7 linked regions of the Coturnix japonica genome follow. The protein of the gene in region 6 interacts with the protein of the main gene of each other region in a pairwise test. Links are inferred from orthologs where the notes say so. Each region holds a gene or a part of one and is shown on either strand. Other genes may lie near its edges.

What was found.
Region 1: the proteins of LNX1 (region 6) and KHDRBS3 interact in a two-hybrid assay, tested with the Homo sapiens proteins (2 studies listed by BioGRID and IntAct). The link is inferred for Coturnix japonica from reciprocal best matches to the Homo sapiens genes LNX1 and KHDRBS3.
Region 2: the proteins of LNX1 (region 6) and MAPK9 interact in binary tests that used the Homo sapiens proteins (3 or more experiments, as listed by UniProt). The link is inferred for Coturnix japonica from reciprocal best matches to the Homo sapiens genes LNX1 and MAPK9.
Region 3: the proteins of LNX1 (region 6) and TSSK3 interact in binary tests that used the Homo sapiens proteins (3 or more experiments, as listed by UniProt). The link is inferred for Coturnix japonica from reciprocal best matches to the Homo sapiens genes LNX1 and TSSK3.
Region 4: the proteins of LNX1 (region 6) and DAB1 interact in binary tests that used the Homo sapiens proteins (3 or more experiments, as listed by UniProt). The link is inferred for Coturnix japonica from reciprocal best matches to the Homo sapiens genes LNX1 and DAB1.
Region 5: the proteins of LNX1 (region 6) and ATPAF2 interact in binary tests that used the Homo sapiens proteins (3 or more experiments, as listed by UniProt). The two-hybrid records come from large-scale screens. The link is inferred for Coturnix japonica from reciprocal best matches to the Homo sapiens genes LNX1 and ATPAF2.
Region 7: the proteins of LNX1 (region 6) and GRB2 interact in binary tests that used the Homo sapiens proteins (3 or more experiments, as listed by UniProt). The link is inferred for Coturnix japonica from reciprocal best matches to the Homo sapiens genes LNX1 and GRB2.

Annotation. Positions count from the first base shown.
Region 1 is NC_029517.1:129,027,221-129,030,720, forward strand, and holds part of KHDRBS3 (KH domain-containing, RNA-binding, signal transduction-associated protein 3), read left to right. Parts: intron 1-807; coding exon 808-954; intron 955-3,500. UniProt on the Homo sapiens protein: RNA-binding protein that plays a role in the regulation of alternative splicing and influences mRNA splice site selection and exon inclusion. Binds preferentially to the 5'-[AU]UAAA-3' motif in vitro.
Region 2 is NC_029528.1:4,157,953-4,161,889, forward strand, and holds the start of MAPK9 (mitogen-activated protein kinase 9), read right to left. Parts: upstream 2,801-3,937; 5' UTR 2,687-2,800; intron 2,452-2,686; exon of another isoform or gene 2,027-2,451; intron 1-2,026. UniProt on the Homo sapiens protein: Serine/threonine-protein kinase involved in various processes such as cell proliferation, differentiation, migration, transformation and programmed cell death.
Region 3 is NC_029538.1:4,558,913-4,562,327, forward strand, and holds TSSK3 (testis-specific serine/threonine-protein kinase 3), read left to right. Parts: upstream 1-1,370; 5' UTR 1,371-1,383; coding exon of another isoform or gene 1,384-1,419; 5' UTR 1,420-1,420; coding exon of another isoform or gene 1,421-1,470; 5' UTR 1,471-1,586; coding exon of another isoform or gene 1,587-1,678; coding exon 1,679-1,823; intron 1,824-2,179; coding exon 2,180-2,841; 3' UTR 2,842-2,915; downstream 2,916-3,415. UniProt on the Homo sapiens protein: Serine/threonine protein kinase required for spermatid development and male fertility.
Region 4 is NC_029523.1:23,150,053-23,153,552, reverse strand, and holds part of DAB1 (disabled homolog 1), read left to right. Parts: intron 1-279; coding exon 280-411; intron 412-1,166; coding exon 1,167-1,286; intron 1,287-1,807; coding exon 1,808-1,846; intron 1,847-3,139; coding exon 3,140-3,205; intron 3,206-3,500. UniProt on the Homo sapiens protein: Signaling adapter of the reelin-mediated signaling pathway, which regulates the migration and differentiation of postmitotic neurons during brain development.
Region 5 is NC_029529.1:5,012,479-5,016,467, reverse strand, and holds the start of ATPAF2 (ATP synthase mitochondrial F1 complex assembly factor 2), read left to right. Parts: upstream 1-1,189; 5' UTR 1,190-1,511; coding exon 1,512-1,611; intron 1,612-1,983; exon of another isoform or gene 1,984-2,308; coding exon of another isoform or gene 2,309-2,384; intron 2,385-2,587; coding exon 2,588-2,632; intron 2,633-2,966; coding exon 2,967-3,112; intron 3,113-3,540; coding exon 3,541-3,638; intron 3,639-3,989. Other genes in the region: GID4 (glucose-induced degradation protein 4 homolog), read right to left, coding at 834-1,046. UniProt on the Homo sapiens protein: Plays a role in the assembly of the F1 component of the mitochondrial ATP synthase (ATPase).
Region 6 is NC_029519.1:59,301,542-59,305,041, forward strand, and holds part of LNX1 (E3 ubiquitin-protein ligase LNX), read left to right. Parts: intron 1-2,528; coding exon 2,529-2,666; intron 2,667-3,500.
Region 7 is NC_029533.1:9,398,553-9,402,052, reverse strand, and holds part of GRB2 (growth factor receptor-bound protein 2), read left to right. Parts: intron 1-329; coding exon 330-427; intron 428-1,075; coding exon 1,076-1,198; intron 1,199-2,911; coding exon 2,912-3,080; intron 3,081-3,500. UniProt on the Homo sapiens protein: Non-enzymatic adapter protein that plays a pivotal role in precisely regulated signaling cascades from cell surface receptors to cellular responses, including signaling transduction and gene expression.

The sequences.
Region 1 (3,500 bases), on a different chromosome or scaffold from region 6:
CTTTTCTATCTGACAGTAATGCAGGTACCAAAACAAGCAATTTAGTCATTGCTGTCTAAGCAGTGCTCAAAGCGGTAGGAAGGGACCTTTACATATCTAGTTCCTACCCTATTGGAACACCTTGCACTAAACCAGATTGCTCAAAGTTCATGTTCTTATGCTTGGGAGCCGGCGCTGGAGAGAATATTGCAGTTAGGATCTCATAACTGCAGGAAGAAAAGGGGCAGAATCGCTTCCTTCAGCCTTTTGGCCACACTTCCCATTTATTCTTTGGAAACTCATTGATCACACCATCTCAGTGAGAATGGAAAATAAATGAGCAGCATTTGAGGAGTGCATTAAAACTAAGAGATGGAAATAATACTGGCAAAGATCTTGCTATTGTGGAATAGTGGAACAAACCTATTTCTAAAGATGTTACCTTTGAGAAAAGAAGCTTTCCATTTTATCTTATTTATTTCTCTTTTTGTTTCCCACATAAAACTGGCGCACTTGGGGAAAACTGAAAGCTTTCTGCCTTGTATTAACATTCTTGTATATGAGAAGGAGCTGCTGAGTCCTTTTCTGAGTTACTAGGCTTCTAGTGTTGATAAGCAAATTGATAACATTCTGACATTTAGCAACAAGTTTGTTTGAAGTGTGTCAGAAAAGTATAAAATTCTAGGCTTTTTAGCTGCTGCTGTCTAAACGTGGACAGTAAGCATAAATGCATCCAAAGAAAATCTAACACCTACATTAAAATGTTTAAAATGATAAAGTAAAAAAAAAAAAAAAAATAGAAAACCCACCTTTTTCTGTTCTTTTTAGGAGGAGGAATTGAGAAAAAGCGGAGAGGCAAAATACTTCCACCTAAATGATGACCTTCATGTTTTAATTGAAGTTTTTGCTCCACCAGCAGAAGCATATGCCAGAATGGGGCATGCGTTAGAAGAAATCAAGAAGTTTCTCATCCCTGTTAGTATTTATTTCTATATTTCCTTCTTTGACTTTGATCAAAGTAATAAAATGGTGCAGAATAATCAGTTCATAAGGTAATTCATCTTGATGTTCATTGAAGTTATTATTCTCATATCTTGATAATCCCAGGAAAATAGTTTTTAATGTACAAGGCAATTCTTCTGTGTAGGAAGTTGCTACACAGAATTCAGAGAAATCAGTTTTATTGAATGAGCATGCTTTGGTTTCTATATTTGTTCAAGGTGTATTGATTTCACTTCTCTTTTTATATGGTGCTGATAAGGTTGCTAAATTTTGTTCCTGAATAGTATAAGATCTTTGAAATGTGGGAGATTTAGGTAAGAAGACTTTTCAAAAGTGCATGTCTGGGAGTGACAGTAGTACAGATATTTGTGTTTAGTCAGTGTAGTGAAGAACCAGTTTGATGCCTGTTCTGTATGGCCACTACAGCCTGAGTGGAGCTGCAAGTTCTGCTCTAGAGTGAAGCAACTGGACCTGAGAACGCTACTATATATATACATATATATATACTATGTATATATATATATATAAATAACAAAAATATGTATAAGAGTTCCAAGTAGATTTTTTTACATATATTTTTACCTCTTTTCATATACTTCTGTTCAGACAAACAAACTGATGATGTAAGGGAAAACCAGCAGAACATTTGTAGGAATGCTGAGTCGTTTTAATGTAGCAGGTTACTATATTTACATGATTCAAATTTGTGTGGAGGCTTAAGTGTCTTCTCAGTAAGATATAAGGAGCTTGTCTGCTTTTGTGGGCAAACAGCTGTTTTTAGATGAAAATGCCCATGATTTGATAAGAAACGCCTTTTGAATTCAGAGTCTATGTCTGACTCCTGTGCAAATCTCATTTCTTCATTGATCTTAATTTACCTTATGTCATAATGAACATACTTAGCAAATTATAGTCCTTATTAACATTAAACCAGCAAAATTAGACTGATAATGAACAATTCTTTTTATTGATTAGACATTTCTACTCACATTTTGATCATTGCCTTGATTGTACTGAGCAGAACTGCATGATCTCTTGTGAAATATGAGATCACGACTTAATTTCCCTTTGGCTTTTCAAATGTAATCTTATCGCGGTTGTTCTAAAAGCCATAATCTCTTGTTCCCCAACTGCTTGCAGCATTATCCCTGTGAAGTTATAGGGACTGGCTTTGTCCCTTCTAGAAGTAATAAATATTGGGCTAACTGCTGCCAAATGCTATTTGATTTTATTTCCTGTATGATCTGCTGTGGCTTCTAGGCAAACTATCAGTTTTCTTCCAGAAAGAAGACCTGATTTCAGAATATGATTTCAGTTTTTGTTCTGAACAGTGCCAGCTGACTATGCATTCTTATATACTGATCCTGATTTATGGAAGTTTTTCAATTTCCAGATCAGATCTGAATATGCAATCACAGATGGTGGTAAAGTGTAAAATATGAAATATCCTTTCAGCTGAGTATGGTAAAATACTATGGGCCACTTTACTCTTTCTAGATCACGGTCAATCACTTTTACACTGAAGGTGAGCCTTCAACACCTGCAGCAGTATAACTTTTTCAGAATGACTGAAAGTAAGATATAAAAGCATTTGATGTTTTGGGTTTGGTTTTTTTTGGCTGTGCTCATCGAGTTGCCTTGACTCTTATCTGTCTTTTGGTATGTTCTCTTCCTTTCCTTTAAATTACTCAGTCGCTTTGTTCTTGTCAGACTTTATGGTCAATAGCATTTTCGATTGCTAGACTTGTAGGTGTTGTGCTTGATTCTAATCTACCCAGAATTCATTCTGGATTTCTGTTCAGTAGTTATCAGAGCAATACTTATTGCCTCTTCCTTGTGGTAGTGTGACTTTGTGACTTTGTTGGATCTTGGGCATTGGTTTTACAATGGAATATATATTTCAGACACTTCTTATATGCAGTTCTTGAAACAGTTCTGTTGATTCAGTCTTCCAGTTATTCCTCATCTTCTGCCAGCTGGTTTCTCATGCTATTTAGAGAATGATCTTAAAGGGGCAGTTGTGATTTAAATTTCAGATCCTATTATAAAACAGTAGCTAGACAAAATGTTTGTATAGTGCCACAGATTTCTCAGTTTAGTGGTTCATAAATGGCATGTAAAGGAAAACTTCTGTATTTTCTTTGCAGAAGTTTAAGGGAAGGAGAATGTTCCAAGGATAATTGAGATCTTTGAATTTACAGAAGTATTAATCTTCCTGTGCAGCATTGTTTCAGGAGTTCTCCAGTGAAAGGCTGTCTTATCGTCATTTGGTATCTGCATAGTACCTAATTGTAACAAAAATCAGATTTCTGGGGAGAGATGAAGCTCTTTTGATTTCAGAACTGAATTCTTAATAGCAGTAGTATTGAATTCTTGAATAGCAGTAGTATTTGTACAAGCCATCCTTCTTTGAAATGGAAAGATTTGCAGAAGAGTGATTTTTATCAGAAGTATCACTTCATTCTTAAAGTAGCTATACATATTTTTTATACTTACTGTATATGTATAGATGCTGAATA
Region 2 (3,937 bases), on a different chromosome or scaffold from region 6:
GAAGTTATGGGCTCTCCCTCTCTAGATGTTGGTGCTACACTAAAATCTGTCTGTAATTAATTAGATGTAGGTAATTACACCTGAGACTGAGGTAGTGGACACACATAATTTCACATGCAACATAATAGGTAATGCCATTACAGCCCAGACTAAACTACAAAGCCAAGAGTTCCCCGAAACAGGAAATGAAAGCAGATCACCTCCCCTATAAGCAGCTGGCCTAACCACCCAGCTGTGCTACATCACTTGTAGCTAAAGAGAGAGCAGTTATTCTCTCCCTCTTCACCAGTCTACAGAACAGTGGAGAGCCCATGCAAAGCAGAAGAGCCTCGACAGCAACTCAGAAGCACATCCTGGAAGGGCACAGGGCTACATGAGCAGCTTCTAGCAGCTTCAGGAATTAGAATATGGGCCTCTCTCAAGTAAATACTCAATCTGGTCATCTCTAGCTGCTATTAGACAGTAAGGAATGAACCCACTCTTCCTGTCTTTTATCATTCCAGAGCTATAGACACTGATGCACCACAGTTTTTGATTAACAACCCCCGATCAGCCCTGGTATTTTCTGTATATCTCCAAATGCTGGAACACAGACACAGCTGGAAAGACAAGACTAAGGAAAAGGCCAAGATTCTCTCTCTGAAAAGGGCTTAAAGAGGGGGAAAACAGTGCAGATGTGGATTACTCTGGAAATCAAATTAGGCCTGTTAGTTATGTGGGATCTATGCTGGTACTCCTTTATGGGTTAATGAAGATCATTGAAAGAAAGAAGCAGAGGGAAAAGGAAGTGATCCTGATCCAAAGAAACCTCACTGTAAGAAATCTCATCTGTACAAAGTCATCACTTGGAAAAACAGTTTAAAGACCAGGATAAGCTCTTTAGATAAGACCCAAAGAGGGATTTGTGAATCACAACACACAAGCTCTATGTATTCTGACATCCTCTGGAGCTCACTGTGCTGAGCACCAAGCCCCTCTCTGAGCCCTATGCTATGGGCTGCACGCTGCTTGGTTAGGACTCAGGTTACTTCAGATATACAAACTAATGCAAAACTAAATGCCACGAGACTGTAAGTATTGACATAATTTAAGTCTCAGTGTCTATTTGGGGGCTAAACCCACTGAATAAGGTTGCCCATCAACAGGGAAAAGTACATCTGACAAGTAAGTTTATTAAACCCCAACTGTTACACTGCTACCCGAGACCATCTGATTCATTGCTCCCCTTAGCAGGTACATAATGCATCCCACACATCTCCCATGCAGGAATCCTTTGAGAAGTTGGCATTACTTCCATGTAGGAAATGCACATTTTCATTCATGGCTTCCGAGCTGCAGCAGACAGGAGCAGTGCCAGACATGGGAGTCATTCATTCATGGGACAGTCAGCAAACATACTTCTGCATATTGATAAGGGCACTCAATTACGGTGCTTCAAGATAATTTTCCTATTTTTGAGCACGCATGAGAGGCAGATAAATTGGGTGCAGGTTTCTGTGTCTGTTTTAATAATGGGCTCATACAACCAGAAAAACTAAAAAGCACAAAGCTGATTTTACTCTATGCATAGAGATCACAAGCGCTTACAAAAGTGGTGTTCAGCCTCAGTTCATGCAGAGTAAAACAATCAAAAAGAGGAAAACAGACACACCAAACCTACCCCCAATGAATGTATCAGCTGTCATACAGAACTGCAGCAAGGAAGTATTTAGGGGTTGGAAGCAACCGCACTACAGTGTATGTACACACTGCACCAGTCACCTCTGCAAAAGGCACCTATTAAAATGGCAACTTATTATTAACCAGATCCATTCCCTGGATATTTTCCACGTCAAAAGCTTCTGAAGCAAACAGGTTGGAACAGCTAGGAACATTCCCTGCGCTGTTTTGGATACAGAAATGTTATCACGATGAACATCAAGAAACTGAACTTCAGGCTAAACTGCACTGGAGACAGAAAGAACCCACGGAGCACACACACACACACGGAGTATGAAAAGATAGGGAAACCACACTGAATATTCACCTTTACAAACGTACTCTGCAAATTAACCAATACTGGCTTTATCCGCTCAGTTCTCTGAGAAGCACCTCTGTCTTTAACCGGCCGAAGCTATTAGTGAGCAGATCACACCGACAGCCACCAGCCCCGCTGTCATTTAGCTGCTAAACAAACGCCGAAAGCAAATACTGGCTGCACCTCGGCCGGGAGACGGAGGGGAAAAGTTCAAACGTGTGTGTGCCGTGCAATTATTGCGCTGTGAAATCACGGAGCAGCCGTAGAGCCCAGCGAGCTCACGGGATTCCTTCACTCGTGCGGTTTCCGTCGCGGAGCAGCACAGCGCGGCCCCCGCCCCGCCAGCACCGAGCGCTGCCAGGGCCGGCACGGGGCGCTGAGGGCAGGGGCAGCGATGCGGCACGGGAAGGGCGAGGGGCACTGCACGGCCGACAAGAAGGAAGGGGCCCCCAGCTCGGCCCCTCCGCCTCCTTCCCCGCTCCGCAGGGCCGGGCCCGGGTCAGCGACACGCGGGGAAGCCCGGCCCAACCCCGGCTGCGCCTCGGCGGGCGGGGCCCGCGGGAAGAGCCAGGGAGTCCTCTCGGCACAGGGCCGGGGGGCTCGGCTCAGATCGGGGAGCTCCGGCTCCGGCCCCGCCGCCCGCACCGCCCTCCTCGCGGCCTCCCTCACCGTCTCTCTCCCGGTCAGGCTCCAGCGGGACGGGGCGCGGCGCTCGCGAGCCGCGCAGCCACCTCCGCCGCCGCCTGCAGCTCCTCCGGCGCGCAGGGCCGCCACAGCCACAATGGCCTCCCGGTGCTCCGCGCAGGCCGCGCCAGGCCTCAGCGCGCTGACGGACAGCAACTCTGACCAATCGCGAGCCCATACCGCGATGCTCAGCCAATGGCAGGCTGGAGGCGGGACAGAGCTGGCGCTATATAAGGCAGGGCAGCGGGGAAGGACCGCAGTGGGAGCGGGCAGGCTCAACCAATCCAGGCGCGGTCTCGGCCCTCCGGCGTGATGTCATCACCACACGTCAGCTTGTCACCGCGCTTCTGACGTCACCACAGGGCAGCGGTGGCACCAAAGTGGGACTGTAGGTGGGACTGTCTCTCCAGCACAGCAAAACAGGAGCATTTATTCAAATACACCCATAGTGCTCTTTACCAAACATACGTGCCACACGTGTGTTTTCTTATATGGTGATGTTCAGTTCTTGACATAACACAACAGCCCTCCTCCTTCTGGTGTCAGAGCATTGGTGCATACAAATGACTAAGGGGAAGGAAAAGAAAAGCCCCAAGACAAGAAGAATCTGTATAATATTTTCTTTAATTGCATATTAATTACATTGTACACACTTCAATCATAAGCACCTTTTGGAAGGTACCCTTATTTTGGCAGTTCCCTTATTTAATTGCCCTGTACAAAGCAGGCAATGAGATACAAAACGCTGCTGGGCCTTCTCATGGTGTTACAGCTGAAAGCAGGAGGAGGAGCTAAAACACAGCTGAGAATTGACAGCCACAGGAACTCTTTGCAAAAGGTGGTGAAATACAAACCAGGTGTAAACCATAGGAGAGGGGGGTAGGAAGATGGGAGGAAGAGAAGAACCTATTTCCAGTTTGAGGATGTAGTAGAAAAACCCCTATAAAACTGTACACAAACTTGCCATGAGCGCTGAGCATGTCAGCTCATTATTACCAATGCTATCGATAAGCAACATACTAAAAAAATAACTTAAGAAAAGCTATACAGTTGTACTTATAAATACTTTATCTTTAAAACTAGTTAAGTAGTGTAGGCTAAAAAAAAAACGTTCACAGTTACTCTGAAGAGAGCTGTATATATATATATATTGCACAGTAGAAAAGTTCATTCAGTATATCATGTGTAAACAATGATTTTTATCTTATCCTTTGGCAATTTTGGGACTTAGAAACA
Region 3 (3,415 bases), on a different chromosome or scaffold from region 6:
GACGGACACGGACAGACACAGACACACACGGACACACACGGACACACACGGACACACACGGATAGACACCGACAGACACACGGACACAACCGACACGCGGTTCCCGCAGCTCCGGCCGCCGCCGCCCCGGAGCCCAACGGCCGCGCTGGGGCTGCCGGCCCCGGGCTGAGTCAGTGCCGCCAACCGAGCGCCCGGCAGCGCCAAGTGCGGACACGGCCGCAGCCCCGCCGTCTCGTACCGTACCGATCCCGCCCCGCCCGGTCCCGCCGCTCTCACCCATCGCGGATCCCGACACGGACGTTCCGGCGGCGGCCACAATATGGCGGCGGCAGCGGGAGGGCGGGGAGCGGCGGACGGCGGCCGAGAGGGACCGCGGCGGGACGAGAGCGGAGAGCAACGCCCCGAACGGGGTCACGGGGCGGGGCCGGGCTTCAACTCGCGGCCGCGGGTCCCGCGTGGATCCTCGTGTCCCGCCACGTGCCCACGCGCCGACACGACCCCCCCCATTGCACCCCCCAGCCCCGAGCTCCGTCCCGGGCCGAGCTGAGCCGGGAGCGGCGGCCCCGGGAGCCCACGGGACGCGTTGGGCCGCACGGCCGGACACACAAGGAGCAGCAGGCGGGGATCGCGTTAGGATGGGCCTTTCTTTACAAAGTGCATAAACATCACGGGCCGCTCAGGTGCTGCGGGGCCGGCAGTTCCCTCCCATGGCGATGAACACGTTGATGGGGATGTGCGGCAGCGTCAGGCGGTGGTTGGCGGGACAGCGCCGCAACTGCCTGCGGGGAGACAGGGGTCAGAGGGACGGCACAGCACGGCACAGTACGGCATAGTACAGTACAGTACAGCACAGTACAGCACAGCACAGTACAGCACAGTACAGTACAGCACAGTACAGCACAACCTGCAGCATCACAGGAGCCCCTTTGGACCCTCACCTGCCCGCAGTCCACGCTGTGCCCACCCGTTGCTGTGTCTCCAAAGCTGCGGCCGCACTACAACAGTCGCCCGCCTCGATGGGGAACCTCCGGGCCCGCGGCGCTTCCTGGGAGCTCATGGCCCGGCCCGGTTTTCTCTGCACAGGGAGAAGCAGCTGGGAGCTGCAGCGGGGCCTGGCTGCGATCCCGGCACCGGCACCTTCCTGCTGTGAAGGAGCCCGGCCTGGTTGGGCTGCAGGCGCCGGAGCAGCTGGACACACTCAGCTCAGACGTGAGGCCGCGGTGGGTCGGTGTGAGCACAGCTCTGAGCTCATGGGCGCAGCCTGGGGTCCCCTCCCTGCAGCAGCAAAGTGTTGTGTGAGCAGCAGCTCCTAAAGCCCCCCCGCCACACCCCGATGAAAACGGGAGAGGAACAGAATGGACCCTGTGACCCCCCTGTACTCACGGTGCCCACCGAGCAGGTCCTGCCCAGCACAGCCCAATTCCCCCCTGCCTGGCCGAGCTGTCGCCCACTTTGATGCACCTCCGTCATCTGGGATTCATGCAGCATCGGCTGCATCACAATAACACGCCCATGCTACAACAGGCGCCTCGATGCCCCTTCCCACCAGGGCAGGAGCAGGGCCTGGTGGCTCTACACGTGCCAACAGGGAGCACGGGGAGCCCCTGGCTGCTGCGATGCTGTTGTCGAGTTGCTGGGGGTAAAACTGAGATTGAACGGCCCCGATTTGTGAGAGGACATGGAGGAGTTTTTGCTCGCCAGCGGATACCAGCTCGGCCAAACCATTGGGGAGGGAACGTACTCCAAGGTGAAGGAGGCCTTTTCCCAAAAGCACCAGAAGAAAGTAGCAATTAAAATCATTGATAAAAGGGCGAGTCCAGAAGGTAAGAAGTTGCCCCTGAAGAGCTCCCAGGTACCGACCCCTCCTTGGAAGCTTTTAGTTCCAGGCAGAAAATGAGTTTCCCAAACTTTCCACCCAAGAGCAGGAAGGGCAGGGAGGTGCTGGGGGCAGGGAGGTGCTGGGGGCAGCTCGGAGCAGCCAGGCCATGGGGTGTCCATCCGGCTCCTCCAGCCATAAGGTGGCCAAAAGCAGCACAGCTCAGACCCCTCCGACAAGGGCCCTGCTTGGAGCCAGGCACCCTGGCACAACCCTTCTTCCTTCCCACTTTGTGGCCGCAGCCCGGTGCGATGCCGGGGCTCAGCAGCTCAGGAACTGAGTGAATTTTCCCCCTCTTGGCAGAGTTCATTCAGAAGTTCCTGCCCCGGGAGCTCCAAATCATCGAGCGCCTGGACCACAAGAACATCATCCACGTGTACGAGGTGCTGGAGTCGGCGGAGGGGAATATCTGCCTCGTGATGGAGCTGGCCGAGAACGGGGACATCTTCGACTACGTGGCACACAGGGGTCCCCTGCCCGAGCCCTGCGCCAGGGAGCTGTTCTGCCAGCTGGTGGAGGCGCTGCGCTACTGCCACGGCTGCGGGGTGGCTCATCGCGACCTCAAATGCGAGAACGCGCTGCTGCAGGGACACACCGTGAAGCTGACGGACTTCAGCTTCGCCAAGCAGCTCCCCGTGGGCAGCCGAGAGCTGAGCAGAACCTTCTGCGGCAGCGTGGCCTACGCGGCCCCCGAGGTGCTGCAGGGGGTGCCCCACGACAGCTGCAAGGGCGACATCTGGAGCCTGGGCGTCATCCTCTACGTCCTGCTGTGCGCCCACCTGCCCTTCGACGACACCAACATCCCGCAGATGCTGTGCCAGCAGCAGAAAGGCGTCTCCCTGCCCAGGCACCTGGAGGTCTCCAGGCCGTGCCAGGACCTCCTGAAGAGGCTCCTGGAGCCAGACATGGTGCTGCGGCCGTCGGTGGAGCGGCTCAGCAGACACCCCTGGTTGGCCGGACCCTGAGGAGCGCTCGGCTGCTCCCCCCCGGGGACAGATTGCTTCGAGGATGCCAATAAATTTGGATGTGTTTCCCACGTGTTCGGCCTCACGTGTGCTGCCAAGGCAGAGCTGAGGGCTGCTTCACTTTAGGCCATTTTTACCTGCCCCCTCCCAACCCCCGGCCTTCAGCAGGGAACAGAACAGACCAAGCAGCCCCATGTTCCCACCCCCTGTAGGCAAACTTCCCTTGGGATGAGGGGGAGGAAAGCAGAAACATAAAGCAGTTGATCCCCTTGAGGCAGCTGCCCCCAGCCCAGGGCAGGGGAAAAGGAAGGAGGACACAGTGGTGAGTGCGGAATTCCTTTAATTGCTGTTAACTGCAAGTCTGTAAAAGGTTTGGAGAAAGTTACAAAACTACAGATGTTAGAATTGTTCCTGGTTTTCCACCCCAGCTACAAAAGGCTCCGGAATAAACAGAGAATATTGCACAGACAACCAGACGGTCAGTGGGACTAAAGAAAAACAGGAGACATGAGAGCAGCGCGGCCCAGAGCTCCACATCCAGCCTGGGTCACCCTGAGCCCAGGGAGCGCAGTGC
Region 4 (3,500 bases), on a different chromosome or scaffold from region 6:
TTAATTGAATTATATCTCAACAGAAGATAGAAAGAAAAGTACTCAGTTGATGCTTTTCTTGTCAAGTTATTAAAAATAAGTCACGTTTGGCCAGACTTTGAAAAGGGAACAGGCATAAATAGTTCAGATGTTAATTGATTTTGACACCAGGGAATGTCGGTGTTTTTAATTCCATAGGTGCACTGAGATCCAGGTGAAGCACAGGTGGAAGGAAATAATACAGATTTAATGGAACATTTTGATGGGTATTTCTTCCTGTGTTTTCTTCTTTTTTAATAGCTATTACAGCACCACCACGCAGTTCATGAGATATCGTACATTGCAAAGGATATCACAGACCACCGAGCGTTCGGGTATGTGTGTGGAAAGGAGGGAAATCATCGATTTGTGGCAATAAAAACAGCCCAGGCAGTAAGTATCAAATCATTGTCATTTTCTTCATCGTAGTTCATAGAGTCATATCACAGGATCATAAAATGGTCTGGGTTGAAAAGGACCACAGTGATCATCTCGTTTCAGCCCCCTGCTATGTGCACCAACCTCCAGACCAGGCTGCCCAGAGCCACATCCAGCCTGGCCTTGAATGCCTGCAGGGATGGGGCATCCACAGCCTCCTTGGGCAACCTGTTCCAGTGTGAAAAGCTTCCTCCTAATATCTAACCTAAACCTCCCCTGTCTCAGTTTAAAACCATTCCCCCTTGTCCTGCCACTACCCACCGTTGTAAACAGCCATTCCCCCTCCTATTTATACGCTCCCTGCAACTACTGGAAGGCCACAATGAGGTCCCCCAGTAGCCTTCTCTAAGCACAGCAAGGCCAGTTCCCTCAACCTTTCTTCATAGGAGAGATGCTCCAGCCCTCTGATCATCTTAGTGGCCTCCTCTAGACCTGTTCCAAGAGCTCGGTTTAAGGGCTGTGTTCATAACAAGCTGTTCAGGAGGCCCATCTTGTATTCTTTCTGTGTTTGGGGTTTGTTTAAATGTTCTTAAATGGCAAATTAATGAAATCATCTTGGGGGAAAAAAAGGAAGAAAAAAAGAAAAAAGAAAGAAAAATGGAATATACTTCACTATTTACAATTATTCTTGATGTGATTTTTTTCCTACTATTTGGTTACTATTTTACTTTCCTCCATAGAAACCTTTCACAATCCTCTTGTTTCCATAGGCTGAACCTGTGATTCTGGACTTGCGAGATCTGTTTCAGCTCATCTATGAACTGAAACAAAGGGAAGAAATGGAAAAAAAGGCACAAAAGGACAAGCAGTGTGAACAGGCAGTATACCAGGTACATGCATAAGCTTAGACTACTGCCAAGGAAAAGGCAGTTTGAAGTATCCCCCAGAATTGCTCCAAAGAGGCACTAACAGCTATTGTGAGCTCAGAAGTAGGATTAAAAGGTGATGAAAGAGGTCACCTGGGGTAAGATGAGCGTGATTGGCAGCTTGAAATGTCCTGCTCCTTTCCAAGACAGAGTTACTTCTAGTTGAAGGGGAAAGCTTTAATGAAGGCCACTGTGTTGCAAGTTGGGTTTTTAACAGCGTCTTGTAGGGGTGATTCATTAAACTTCTGAATGTGTGCATTTGAGTCAAATCAAATAAGGTGCAGGTTGCTAAACTCTCATGAAACAAGAATAGTGTTACTTTGTAGAATAACTTGACTTTATCTGCATAATAAAGAAAGAGAATTATATACTTACCTGCACGTTTTGCTTAGTTCTTTGCTGTCCTTTAGTTTCTGAATGCAGTTCTTTTATCTCTGCTGTTTATGTTCTTTGCTTTTACTGCCTGTCCTCTTACTTTGCTGTAGACAATTTTGGAAGAAGATGTAGAAGACCCTGTATACCAGGTAATTTCTGAAGCTGCACGGCCTGGGAGTTTCAGAAATGACTTAGATAGATGTTATCTTCAAACACAGCCAGAGCCTTTCACAAAGTGTTTTGAAATGTATTGAGATAGATCTCATGAGAGACTTCACTTTACAGCAAGTAGCACGTTCAGGAATTAAGCTGTAATAGCACAGCATTTCTGCATAGAAATATTAGATTGAATATATCTTAAAATATACTTTCTGAGTTGAGATTTGAAGTTTCCCACTGAGATTTGTCATTATTTCCTTATTTTATTCTTTTTTAAGACGCAATCTAACAGAAAAGGGAGCTACTTTGAAAATAAGGAAGATGACACCTTGTTTTTATAGCAATAAATTGATGTCTTGTTGTTGGCTTCGATGCAGCCAGAATTTCATTCAGAGGGCGAATATTTGTTAAAAAGAAACACGGAGGAATTAATGTTATAATGTACTCCCTTGTTGGCATTTTGGGTTATGATTTAATAATACATCTGTAGTTTAAGTCCTGTTCCATCCAAGCAAAATGCCTGGGAGTAAAGATAATGATCAGAAATATGTCAATATATTCATGTCTAATATCTTGCTGAGTCTGAAGAAGAAAAAGATGTAATTTCATTCTCGTGTTTTTGTGCTGAGATTTGTGTTTTGTGGAGATTTTGTGTTCTTCCACTTAAAAATACCAGTTGGAGGCACACTGAAAGAAACCAATTCAAGCATTAGTGACTATTGAGCACTGTCTAAGGTGTTTCAAGGAAGATGAGAGGAATTAGGATGCCCTAAATTAAATTCAGCTTTTGTAATGTCAGGAGTTTTACTTTGTATGGTGGTTCCTCACAATAAAACAAGAACCTGAAGATGAAATGCACTGTGGCTGCCTTTCACTGTGTGGTATGTTGCACAAGCTCCAGCCTGTTCACCCAGTTTGCATTTAGCTTTTTTATTCATAGATAATAAATACGTGTGGAAATAATTGCCATTATATAAAGGAGGCAAAATGCACGATGACTTCAGAAAATTAATATCAGACCACAGGCGGTATCCCTAGTGAGAAAGAATTAGGAAGCTGCTCTAATGATCATTAGAGGAGATTTAGGTCTATTCTCTGCCGGTTTATGAAATATGAAACAACCTTACTCTGTGCTTTCCAACAAACCAGTTGTCTGGTTCCATCCAGCCTTTACTTTGAACTTGTTTCTTTAATGCCTGCCTGTGTTTTTATGTGGAATTCCAAATTGCCTTTTTCCCTCTGTTTCATCTTTGACTTTTCCTCTCTGGCTGCTGGTGTAATAGTACATTGTGTTTGAGGCTGGACATGAACCAATCCGTGAGCCTGAAACAGAAGAAAACATTTATCAGGTATAAAATCACTGCTTCCGTGTTTTCATTGCAACAATTGCAAGCATTTAGTAAAACACATTTCATATATAATTCGCTTTTATTCGTTTTCATGCATCACAAACAGTGTCTGACATTTCATTCTTACGACCTTACATGATTAATCTGCCAGTCTCTGTGTATTTATTTGTTTGTCTGTTCAGCTTCTGCAGGTTTTATGAACTTTTATCTGTAAGTTTAGCCAAATTGTGAAGGGTTGAGCACACCATATAAAGTGATCATTGGTAGATCCTCTTTTCTCCTTTTAATTCTTCGA
Region 5 (3,989 bases), on a different chromosome or scaffold from region 6:
CAAAGCCCAGCACAGGGACCTGGATCCCTGCTGAGTTCCAGCCAGGCCTGAAATACAGGCTGTCCCACTGCTCGGGACTTCCTGGGCACCTCCCAACACGAGGCAGGATCCCACCCTTCCTCATGGCAGCCCAGAGGCACACGGGCACCCCAGGCCTGAGGGGAACGAGAAGGAGAGTCCTGCTGGCAATAGCAGGACATGGGGAAATGGTTTTAAGTTAAAAGAGGGAAGATTTAAGTTGGATGTCAGGGGGAAGTTCTTCACTAGGAGAGTGGTTAGGCCCTGGAACAGGCTGCCCAGGGAGGTTGTGGATGCCCCGTCCTTGGAGGTGTTCAAGGCCTGGTTGGACGGGGCCATGGGCAACCTGATCTATGGGGTCTCTATGGGGATCTATGGGGTCTCCTGGGCAACCTGATGTAATAAATGTGTATGTTTGGTGGCCCTGCCAGGCAGGGGGTTGGAACTACATGATCCTTGAGGTCCCTTCCAACCCGGGTCATTCTGTGATTCTGAGAGCTGCTGTTAAGTATCTCAGCAGCCACAAGGAGAAAAGGGGCAAAAGTGTGAGAGGAAAAGAGAGGAAGGACCCCGGGTCCCATCAGCCCTGAGGGGATGGAGCAGTGAGGGGCAGTGAGAGCCGGGTGGGGGCTGCAGGAAGGGCCGGGGCTGCAGGGAGGAGCTTATGGAGATGGGGGGGATCGGGGCCGGGCGGAATCAAGGCGAGGGGAACCCGGACAGCGGGGAGCAGAGGGGAAGGAAGGGAAGGAAGGGAGGGAAGCAGGGAAGGCCTGAGGCCCAGCGGGGCCCTGTGGGCGCCGGACACGGTCCCTCACCTGCATGACGACCTCCACCTCGTACGCGTTGCCTTTACTGCGCTGCTGCCCGCGGAACTTGGCCCCGCTGTACAGCAGGGATGTGGCCACTCCGGGCTGCGCCGTGTTGATGGGAGGCGGCGGCACCAAACTGCTGGCGGCCGCTCCGGACGGAGCCGATGATGCCGGTCCCGCCGCTCCGCCCGCTCGGCCCCGCTCGCTGCGCACCGGCATCTCGGGGGGGTCCCCGGGCGCCAGCGTGGCCGGGGCTCAGCGGCCGCCACCGGGGCCGCGCTCCGCTCCGCTCCCCTCACGCCCAGGCCGCCGCCGCCGCCGCCTGGCTCGGGGCCTCCCGGCAACGCCCCCGCGCTCTCCCATTGGCCCTCGCGAAGCGGCGAGAAGGCGGGGCGGAGCTCCGATTGGCGGAGAGCTCTCCTTCCCGGCAGGTTTTACGGTGAGGAGGCTGCTGGGAAATGTAGTTTGTTCGCCTCGCGCCTCACGCGACGGGAAGGCCGAAGGGGCAAAGCGCGTTCTGTGCTCCCATTGGGCGGAGCGGGGCAACATGGCGGCGCCCGGGGCGACAAGCTGAGCCGGGGGAGGCCGCTCCGAGCCGGGGTAGGCCGCAACGCTCCAGCTCCGTTCGCCGCCCCTCATCGTTCCTCTCGGCTCCTCATCGTTCTCTTCGGCTCCTCCGCCGCCATGTGCCGCCTCCTGCAGGCCCTGGGCCGCATCCCGGCTGTGGCAGCCCGGAGCCGCCCGCTGTGTCCGGGTGGGAGTCGAACATACGCCCCTCCCGCAGGTGAGGAGCTGTGGGCCCCGCGGGGAGGAGCCCGGAGCCCCGTGTGAGAGCGGGGGAACGCGGGGGGTGTCGGTGTGTGTGTGTGTGGGGGGGGATTAGTGGGAGCCCCCTCCTCAAGGTCAGCTCTTGCTGGCTGGGGGAGGGGTTGGGTTCCGGCCTTCAGAATGGGCTGAAGAAAGGAGGAAGAGGGAAAATGGGCTCCGAGGTGGGTAAGGAGGTGGTGGGGCGTCACTGCGCTGCTTTTCCATCAGTGGGTTTGAAGGTTCCCTTTGGTTGCGGGTGGGATGGCGGGGAGCTCCACCAGCCCCTCCCAGGCACGTGCTGGGCTGTGCAGCCCCTCTACAGATATTGCTGGAAACACGAGGATGGGAGTCAGGGTTTCATTGAGTATCATGAGGCCAATGGGAACACGCTGAGGTGCCTGAATCCTCCCAGAGCTGTGCTCCAGCACTGCAGCATTTCCTGAGGCCCTGAAGCTTGTAGGAGGCTGAGTGGATCCCCATCCTTCTCTCTGCTGGGCCCGTGTTGGCAGGGCACAGTTCAGTGACAGCCAGGAGGTGGATTCAATGGGCTCAGCATTTACGAGCTGGTTGTAATTGTCAAGGGAATCTTCTGGGTGAGACGTGTGGGCTGCGGTGAGCTGAGGACAGTGGTTCCTCCCCAGTGACTCAGCTGCCACGTGCAACGTGTCTGACACATGATCCAGTTGCTGCTGCACATAGGGTTCATGGTTCCTCCAAGTGGTGTCTGCAAGAAATCTGCTCCTATGGGTGGTCAGGAGATCTGGGGCATTGCTGTGGATGTCACCAGTATTGTGACACCTCCCAGGTTGAATAGAACTCACTGGAATGGAGAGGGGCTTGAATGAGTGGGATTTTGTGGCTGTTCTGTGGGCTGCAGCAGCTCTGAGGGCTCCCTGTGTTCTGACAAACCTCCCCTTGCCACCCTTTCAATTGCTCTGTTTTCAACCCCCCAGAGAGGAAGCGGTTTTACCAGAACGTGAGCATCTCACAAGGAGAAGGTGAGTGGAGCTGCTGGGGCAGGCGAGGGCTGGTACTCACACGGGGGTTACCATCACAAGGCAGTGCTGTGTCTGCAGCCCCTGTTGTGAGCTGGGCTGTCTGTCACCCACATGCTCTGCCCTTGTCCTCATCCATAGTAAAACCATGTGGTGGGAAAGTTTCCAGCATCATCTGGGGAAGAGCAATGTCAAAACATTGATGTTGGTGGGAAAATTGCTGATTCCTTGCTCCCTTCAGCTCCAGCTCTGAGCTTGTTCCCTCTATGGGGTAGTCTGTTGTTCCTTAGTGCCTGCTCCTCTTTAATTCCCCAGGATTTCTACTCTGATTCCCCAGGAGGCTTTGAAATCAACCTGGACCACCGGAAGCTGAAAACACCCCAGGCCAAGCTCTTCACTGTCCCCAGTGAGGCCTTGGCCATTGCAGTGGCAACAGAATGGGACTCTCAGAAAGACACCATCAAGTTCTACACTATGCACCTGGTGAGCACAGCAGGTCAGAGTGCTGAAGCACAAAAATGGTCTCCAGAGGCAGAACACAGAGAGAGACCAGGCTGTCCTAATGTCAATTGAAGTGGGAACAGGAGTTCAGTGCCTTGGCTGAGTACTGTGGATAACTTAAGGCTGAGCAGGCAGCTGGATGCTGGCTACAGGACTGGGAGGGAAACCCGTGTCACTGGGGAGTTTGAGAAGGGGATGGAGAGCATTTCTGGGGATAGCAAGGGGTATGAACAGGTTGGATAGACTCTATTATATGAGCCATGTTCTGACTCTATGTTTCCCTCTTAAGTAAGCTCCTTGATTCTTGCAGTCTGTCCCAAATTCTTCTGCTTATCTTGACCTAGTACACTGGAAACTGCTGCTTCCTTGAGCTTTAGATAACAGTGATTTCAGTTGCCTTTATCCTGCAGACCACACTGTGCAACACAGCTCTGGACAATCCCACTCAGCGAAACAAGGTGCAGCTGATCCGTGCAGCTGTGAAGTTCCTGGAGACTGACACTGTCTGGTAAGGGACTGCGGGATGCACTGGCACAGAGGTGGGGTTGTCTTGTTGTAGAGTGGTTGAGAGAACTGAGGGAAAATGTCTGTTCTAACCAAGTCATTGCAGGGCTCTGCTCTGTCCTGGCTTTGGCCCAGGGGTTTGAATTAGTTTAGACGAGTCCTATGTCCACCAACCTAGTGGAACTCCATGCATTTAAAGGGCATAGATACAAAGAACAGGGACCTGTTTCTTTGTTGAAATCTGTTTGGAGATGTCCATGTTGGACAGGGAGCAGGAGCAGCAAGAAATGTAGTGGGAAAAGCAAAGAAAGGCTTGGGAGAATGTCAGCTCAGTCCCCTGGCACTCCAGTAGCAT
Region 6 (3,500 bases):
GACAGAACCCTGTCAGTTGAGATCTCAGAGTGTGTCACTCTGCACATTAAGGTCTTCAAATTAACAGTGCTACATGCTTCTAAGATGTGATTGGCTCCTTTGAAATCAGAATGAACGTTCACTGATATGATAAAAGATGGTAGTGGTTTATTATGCCAAGTACAGCTGGGAGAACTTCTGGGTTCTGCAGAGTCTGATTAGTTTTGACTGCTAAATAATGAATAATTGGGAAAAATCTGATTCTTCAGGCCTGTAGTGATTATACATCAGCATATGCAAAGCGGTTGTTAATCAGGAGATTAGGTGTCAGCCTGTTTAGAAGGTCAGTCACGAGAACTGAAATGAAGATAACATGTACCTGCTAATTAAGAATGTACGCACATCGTAACTCTTGGGATCTTGCTGCTCTCTGTTTACCACATCATCTTTAGTCACAGTCTTGTGTCAGATGTGGCACTTTTTGATCTAAATAACGTGATGTCCCACATCTGTTTCATGTGGGTGCGACATGAAAATGACCAAGGTGCCAGAAGAGTGGGCAGTTGTGTGAGGACATCAGCCCTATCTGCTCGGTTGGGCCAGGCTGCATGGCTGCCTTGTTTCCAAGTGACTGCTTGGAAGTTGTCACTGCGTCCCTGCCTCCCTGCCAGCTTGGATGCAGCCATCTTTGTGCAGAGGTGTTTCTTTGCAGCCCCTTTTGGCTGCTGTTGTGTTTGAACACTGCACCTCCAGCAGCACTGGGTGTCACACAGCACAGGTAACTGGAGGTGTTTCAGGCTGCTTTCCCTATCCCAGGGAAATACCTGCCAAAAGCAGAAGCAGAATCAACCCAACACAGAAGTGACCCTTAGAGGATTATAGGCCAAAGCTTTGCAGAGCATTCCCCAGTCTGTCTTTGATTTGCTTTGACCATAACGCAGATTTTAATTCTAGTAGATTATTTCCATTGTTACTTGTATTCAGACTCAAAGCAAACCTTATTACTTTAATTCTTGCTTTAGTGTGAAGAGCAGAGAAGGAACTGGGTAAACCAAGCAGTAAAGGGGAAGGAGGGAGGGAGAGATCAAGATGAAACAGCAATTAATATTCTGATCAGTAGAAACGGTTCTGGGTTTGTGTATGGAAGTATGTAAATACAAAAGCTAATCATCTTGTTTGGATAACTCTTCAGAACACTCTGGTCTGGACTTCTGAGAAATTACTCATCTTGACTGACCTGGAGACAAACGTGACATTGCAATACTCTTGTTGAACTTCTGTCAGTTGGTCCTCAGAGAATTAGTCACGTTTACAACCTTCCTCTAAATAACCAACTTTGAGACGAACCATGTGGCAGCAGATGAGCTTTAAACAGAAGCTGCATAAACTGAAGTTGTTTGTTTTAAAGAAAACAGTATTTTTGTGGGGTCATATGCCCATAGGAGATTTGGTAGCATGATGTTCAGCTACAATTGGAGCATCCTACAAACTAGAGGTCTTGGGGTGCTTTCCTTTCTCCCAAGAGACAGAAGCCTACTTCTGGGTGCTCCACCCCAAGAGCAGGAGGTAGCAAGCACTGGAAATGTGGCACCCCGGGAGCTCCAGAGATGCTTGATGGGGTTTCCAAATTAGATCCTTCATAATGACCCACACACAAGCAGATAGGACTCCCTCTAGAACCAGCTTCTAAGACCTGCTCCTACAGGTCTTTAATCTAGAGAGAGGACAGATTTCTTTTGTATTCTGGGTATATTCCTATAGCTTTCAGGCTATTCCTATGCTTCCCTTCAGCTGGGTCAATGATAGAAAAGAATCACCTGTACACAGAATCAGTAAAGCCAATACCAGGTAAACATGGAGCACCTGAAAACAATGAGACTCTGCAGGGAACATGACTGTTGTGCAGAAGCGTTCTGAGCTTATTTTGGGTTAATTGCTTTTATACCTCCTGTTCCTAGAGTGAGAGTTTGAGCTGGTTTCCCAACCCAAGTGCTGTTACTCTATGTACTTGCTTGTGCCTTTTTATTCTCTGTGTACCGGCACACTAGGATTTTATCTCTCCAAGTGGTGACTCATCCCTTTTTTCAAGCTACCTTACGTCTGCTGTGTTTGTTATACACAGGTGGGCTCTGTAATGCTGTTATTCTCCACCCTCACCAGCCTGAGCTGCAGTATACTCCTTGTTACAGCACTAATTGTGGTGTGTCTCTCTTGCAGCAGGCACATTGCTGGTCTGCTCTGCTGCGTGCAGGAGAACGCAAGAAGTGAACAGCGATTGCATTACCATAGGTCAGGTCATTACTTGCGGCCAGATTTAGGGCAGACAGAAAGATTTTTTTGAGCATTAACACTAAATTTTCAAGTTTTAGGTAGTTGGCAGTAAGCTTGTATGACCTGAACTGGTACTACTTCTTCGTGTTAATGCAACTGCTGTGGAGGGAAATCCAAACTGAGCTTAAACGGGATCTATGTTTGGTGACTCCTCCCTGCTCAGCTTCTTCTGAGTCATTGCAGCAGAGTGATGGGATTCACCCTGTGCTTTCTCTTAGGCCAGTGAGCGGCATGTCCACTTTGTGGTATCACGGCAGACCAGGCAGCAGCCCCCTGACATCTTGCAGGAGACAGGATGGAGTTACAACAGCAGCAGCCCCCAGCCCTGTCCTGCTGAGAGGATCAATGCCAGTAAGGTGAGCCCATATCTGCTCTGCTGTCCTTGGGAAAAGGGACCTCAGGGTGGCTGACATCTGGGGGTCTTGTGGTAGCCTTTCTGGATCCTGTCACCAGTAGTGTCATGTCTAACTCTGCAATTGAAATGTAAAACTGTGCTCCTTATCATTTGTGCTCTAGGAAGTGTGTTTTTGCTCACTTGGTTTGGGGTGAGAAGGGGAAGAGAAGGTGAAGGGGGTTGGTGAGGCAGCAGTGTGATGGGCATGGAGCTGGTTTTGTTGTTAGTTTCATTTTCTGTGAAGTCTCAATCCCAGCTCTTGGTAAGGATCAACAGGAGTTAATCATGGAGCAGTCAATTCCTGGTAGCCACTAGCCAGAGGTAGTAGTGCCCAACTAATCATGTGTCTGCAAAACATTACTAATGAAGTAATGCTTTCCTTAAGGAGATATGAGTAAGACAGCAATTATCTCATGTTGCTGGTATATGATTTTTAGTGATGCTCAGAGCACCTGCTAGCTCTACCATGGAGATCTGATTAATTGGTACCATGTGAGACTGTGCTGTTTGTTTTTCATACACTGCCCTTAGATCCCCATTTTCTCTTCCTATACCGAGGTATTAGACAAAAACTGGTACATTTGACATTATGTATTAGACAAAAACTGGTAAATTCAACATTATGTGGGGGATCTATGAACTCAGCAGGCCAGCGCTGACCTTGCATCTGTCCTTCTAAGGCTAAAAATATCATCTTTTGTTGAACAGACCATAGCTTGTGAGTGGATTTCCAGTTGGCCCCAAGAGATGCGTGCTCCACTGGGGCATGAGTGGGCTGCTGTGGGCTTCTGCCTGG
Region 7 (3,500 bases), on a different chromosome or scaffold from region 6:
GGCTGTTTTTAGTCAGTGTACCTGCCTTGTCTGTTGCACTGCACCGCTTGGCAGAAAAGCAATGAAAAATAAAGCAACAAAACTTCTAGAGAGAGTATGATTTGAAATAATGATTTGTGTATTAATGCATGGAGTTTATTATAAATTATTGATCCACCTTGTTTTGAAGGCTGATAAAATGTGATGGATTGGGATGGCTGACTATGTGTTTTTAAGGGCTCGTCTTATATGAACAATCTTTGAGACACAAGTGGAAAGAATAAGCTTGTGTCTTCGTCTGTTTTGCTGGAACTTGAAATGTAGTAAGCTTATTTTTTTGTTTCCTTCAGGTTTTGAATGAAGAATGTGATCAGAATTGGTACAAGGCAGAACTCAATGGAAAAGATGGCTTCATTCCCAAGAACTACATAGAAATGAAACCACATCCGTAAGTAGAGCCTTGGTGGTAGTGCCTGTGTTTGGTTGGTTTTAAGCATAGATAAATTGACCTTTTCTGAAGACATTTAAACTGCTGATGGCATCTGGATCATGTGTCAGCAGTGCTGGAAGTCTTCATTAGTGCATTAGCAACCTGAGGAAATTACAAAAAGTTTGTATACTATCGTGTTTACTGAGCAATAATGAAGAGCTCTCTAAGTAGTCCAGCAGGGCATACAAAAACAAACTTCAGCCAGCTGACCAGGTGTAAGAAAGAGAGCATTCCTTTTCTTAGAGCTGGTGTCAGTGTTGTTGGAAGGAGGTGTAAGTATTTTTTCAAGAGAATTTAGAAGGAAAGTAATTGAAAATGCCTTTATATGTTAAGGATTTCACTCTTACTGCATTTCTGCTTCCCTAAATTAGATGAAATAGGGCTATTGTGAGCATGTGCTCATGAAATCATGGTAGCTTCACTGCTAGGACAAAATGTGAGAAGTTGCATAGTTTGGTAGCCTGTAGTAGATTAACAATAAATAGATGCAGTTCAGTCATTTCTGCTAGAATTCATCTGATCTCCGTGGGGATACCTGTGTTGGGCTCTTCCATAAGACAGTTCAACTCCTTAACTTTCTCTGTTTTCTTCTTGCTTACTCCACAGGTGGTTCTTCGGAAAGATTCCCCGAGCGAAGGCTGAAGAGATGTTAGGCAAACAGAGACACGATGGTGCCTTCCTTATCAGGGAGAGCGAGAGTGCTCCTGGGGACTTCTCTCTCTCGGTCAAGTAAGTAGTGCCCAGAAATAATCGTGTGGAAATCAGGGCACTTGATGCTCATTTTGACTCCTGGATAGATAAGTGATTATCAGTGCTGAGGAGCGGCAATAATCAAGATAGCATACCTATTCTTCTGGTGATAATGTATTTTTGTCTTTATTAAAGAGGAAGTACAGATAAGCTCTGTTTTGTAATGAGCCTACATGGCTGACTTGGTGGTGTGTTGCTGTCTGACTTAAGTGTTTTCAGGCACTATTTGTTAATTTGTGGATCCCATTTCTCCTTCCTCCAACTATGAACTGCCCAGTTTGTACATACTGCTTTCCATCCTCCTTTGTTCCTCTTCCATAGAACAAGTCATTATTCTCTTCTGTCTTTGGATAATACACTTCCAAATATTTTTCATGACTGCTTGGCACATGCTTTGGGGATATTCATCTTAGCCAGCACTGGGACATGGAGCTAATGAAAACAAATTCTTTTCCATTTCTCAAATGCATTCCATTAATGGAATTTCAATATAGAGGAATTTCTTTCTGTCTAGTAACATTGAAGGTAGGCAGGAACAGTTCCCATCCTTGTATAACATTTCTAGAAATGCTAACTTTTAATCAGCAGCAATTTCTGATAGTTAACATGTGAGCCATGTTTAACCATCTCACAGCTCTGTATAAGCCGCCATAAATTGAAGTATTAAAAAGTTGGAAGAGTATGGGATGTAAGGTAGCATAGGAAGGAAGGAATTCCATCCTCAGCAGCTGATTTTTATCTTTCTTAACTTTCTGTAACCTTCCCCTTTCCTTCCAGAAATGAACAGGGTTTTCTTTAGTATCTTATATTGATTATTCACGCACAGTTCCTTGTTTGCTGTATTTTTGGCTCATCTTTGGGCTGTACCCAGATTTTGTCATCCTGTACACCAGTCTTGATCCAGCCAACAAACTGAATTAAAACCACTCTTTTTAGAAAGGTGTTTATAGTTCTGCTGGGTACAATAATCTGAGCTGGAATACAAGATACGAATGGGAGCTCCATTGCAGACATCAACTTCCTTCATGAAACTTGGTTTTGACTGTAGCTCTGCTTATCTTGTCAGCTTAGTGTTGCCACCTGGTGGTAGTTTGGTTTTTTTTTTTCCTGGTGGATTAATTTAGAAAAAGCTTTCTTCCACTCACCCCCAAACAGTGATTTGCAAGATTTGAAATGATGAGAATCTCTCAGGTTGAAGAGGAAACAGCAAAGGCAGTACTCACTGATTGTTTCATGTTAACGTTGTAGCCAAGACTATGCCTGCACTTTAAGCTCTTGATGCCAGGTGGAGAATGTACTCCTCACCCATTTTCAGTGTTTTTGTTTCAGAATAAAGTAAAAATGCTAACGTGCTGTTCATCTGGAAAAACTTTGGAGTTGCACTTTACGTAGAATAAAAGTTGAATGCCATCACATGTCAAAATATAGAAGTGGAAAAGTCTGTCTGTTTTGCAATACATCATTTTTTTTTTGTAACTCCATGCTTAGAGACAGTCCTGCCGTACTTGTGGCAGTTCTTTTCCCAGCACTTTTTGTATGTTTTCAAGGGTCTGCTTCACAGCAGCCAATTGATACCTGCAATCATTGTCACCAGCTATGTCCCGAATGATTTTTGTGTTGTAAAGTCTCACAATCCTAGAAGAGTGCTCAGTGACTGTGTTCTTCTCTGTATTGTTTGCTCATTTCCCACAGGTTTGGAAATGATGTGCAGCACTTCAAGGTGCTTAGAGATGGGGCTGGCAAGTATTTCCTCTGGGTGGTGAAGTTCAATTCTTTGAACGAGCTGGTAGATTATCACAGATCCACATCTGTCTCCAGGAACCAGCAAATATTTCTACGAGATATTGAACAGGTGCCACAGGTAAGAGAACTGTTTGTTCAGAGCATATTTAAACTAATGCAACCATGGGTTGCATCTGGGATTGTATCTTGATGGTGATGGAGAAAAGCTGACTTTTTACCTGTAGGAGTTTATTTTTGGATCTTGCTGCCAGAGTTGTACTGGAAAATAATCTGGATGTTTGTGCACAGCCTACCTGCTAAAACTTAGTATCCATTTCTGGTGGTGTTACTGTTGCTGCCTGAACATTTGGCTTGTGTTAATGTTTTTGGGTACTGTTGAAATAAGATAATCCAATTCCTGTGAATTAAGAAGGTGTTTACTCCTGTTTTAGGACACAGTAAGAAAGCACAGTTATGTACTGGTTCATAGCCAGAACTGTCCCGTCCCGTCCATCCCCCCCCCCCCCAAAAGCAGTGAAATTTTGGTAGTAGTCTTGCC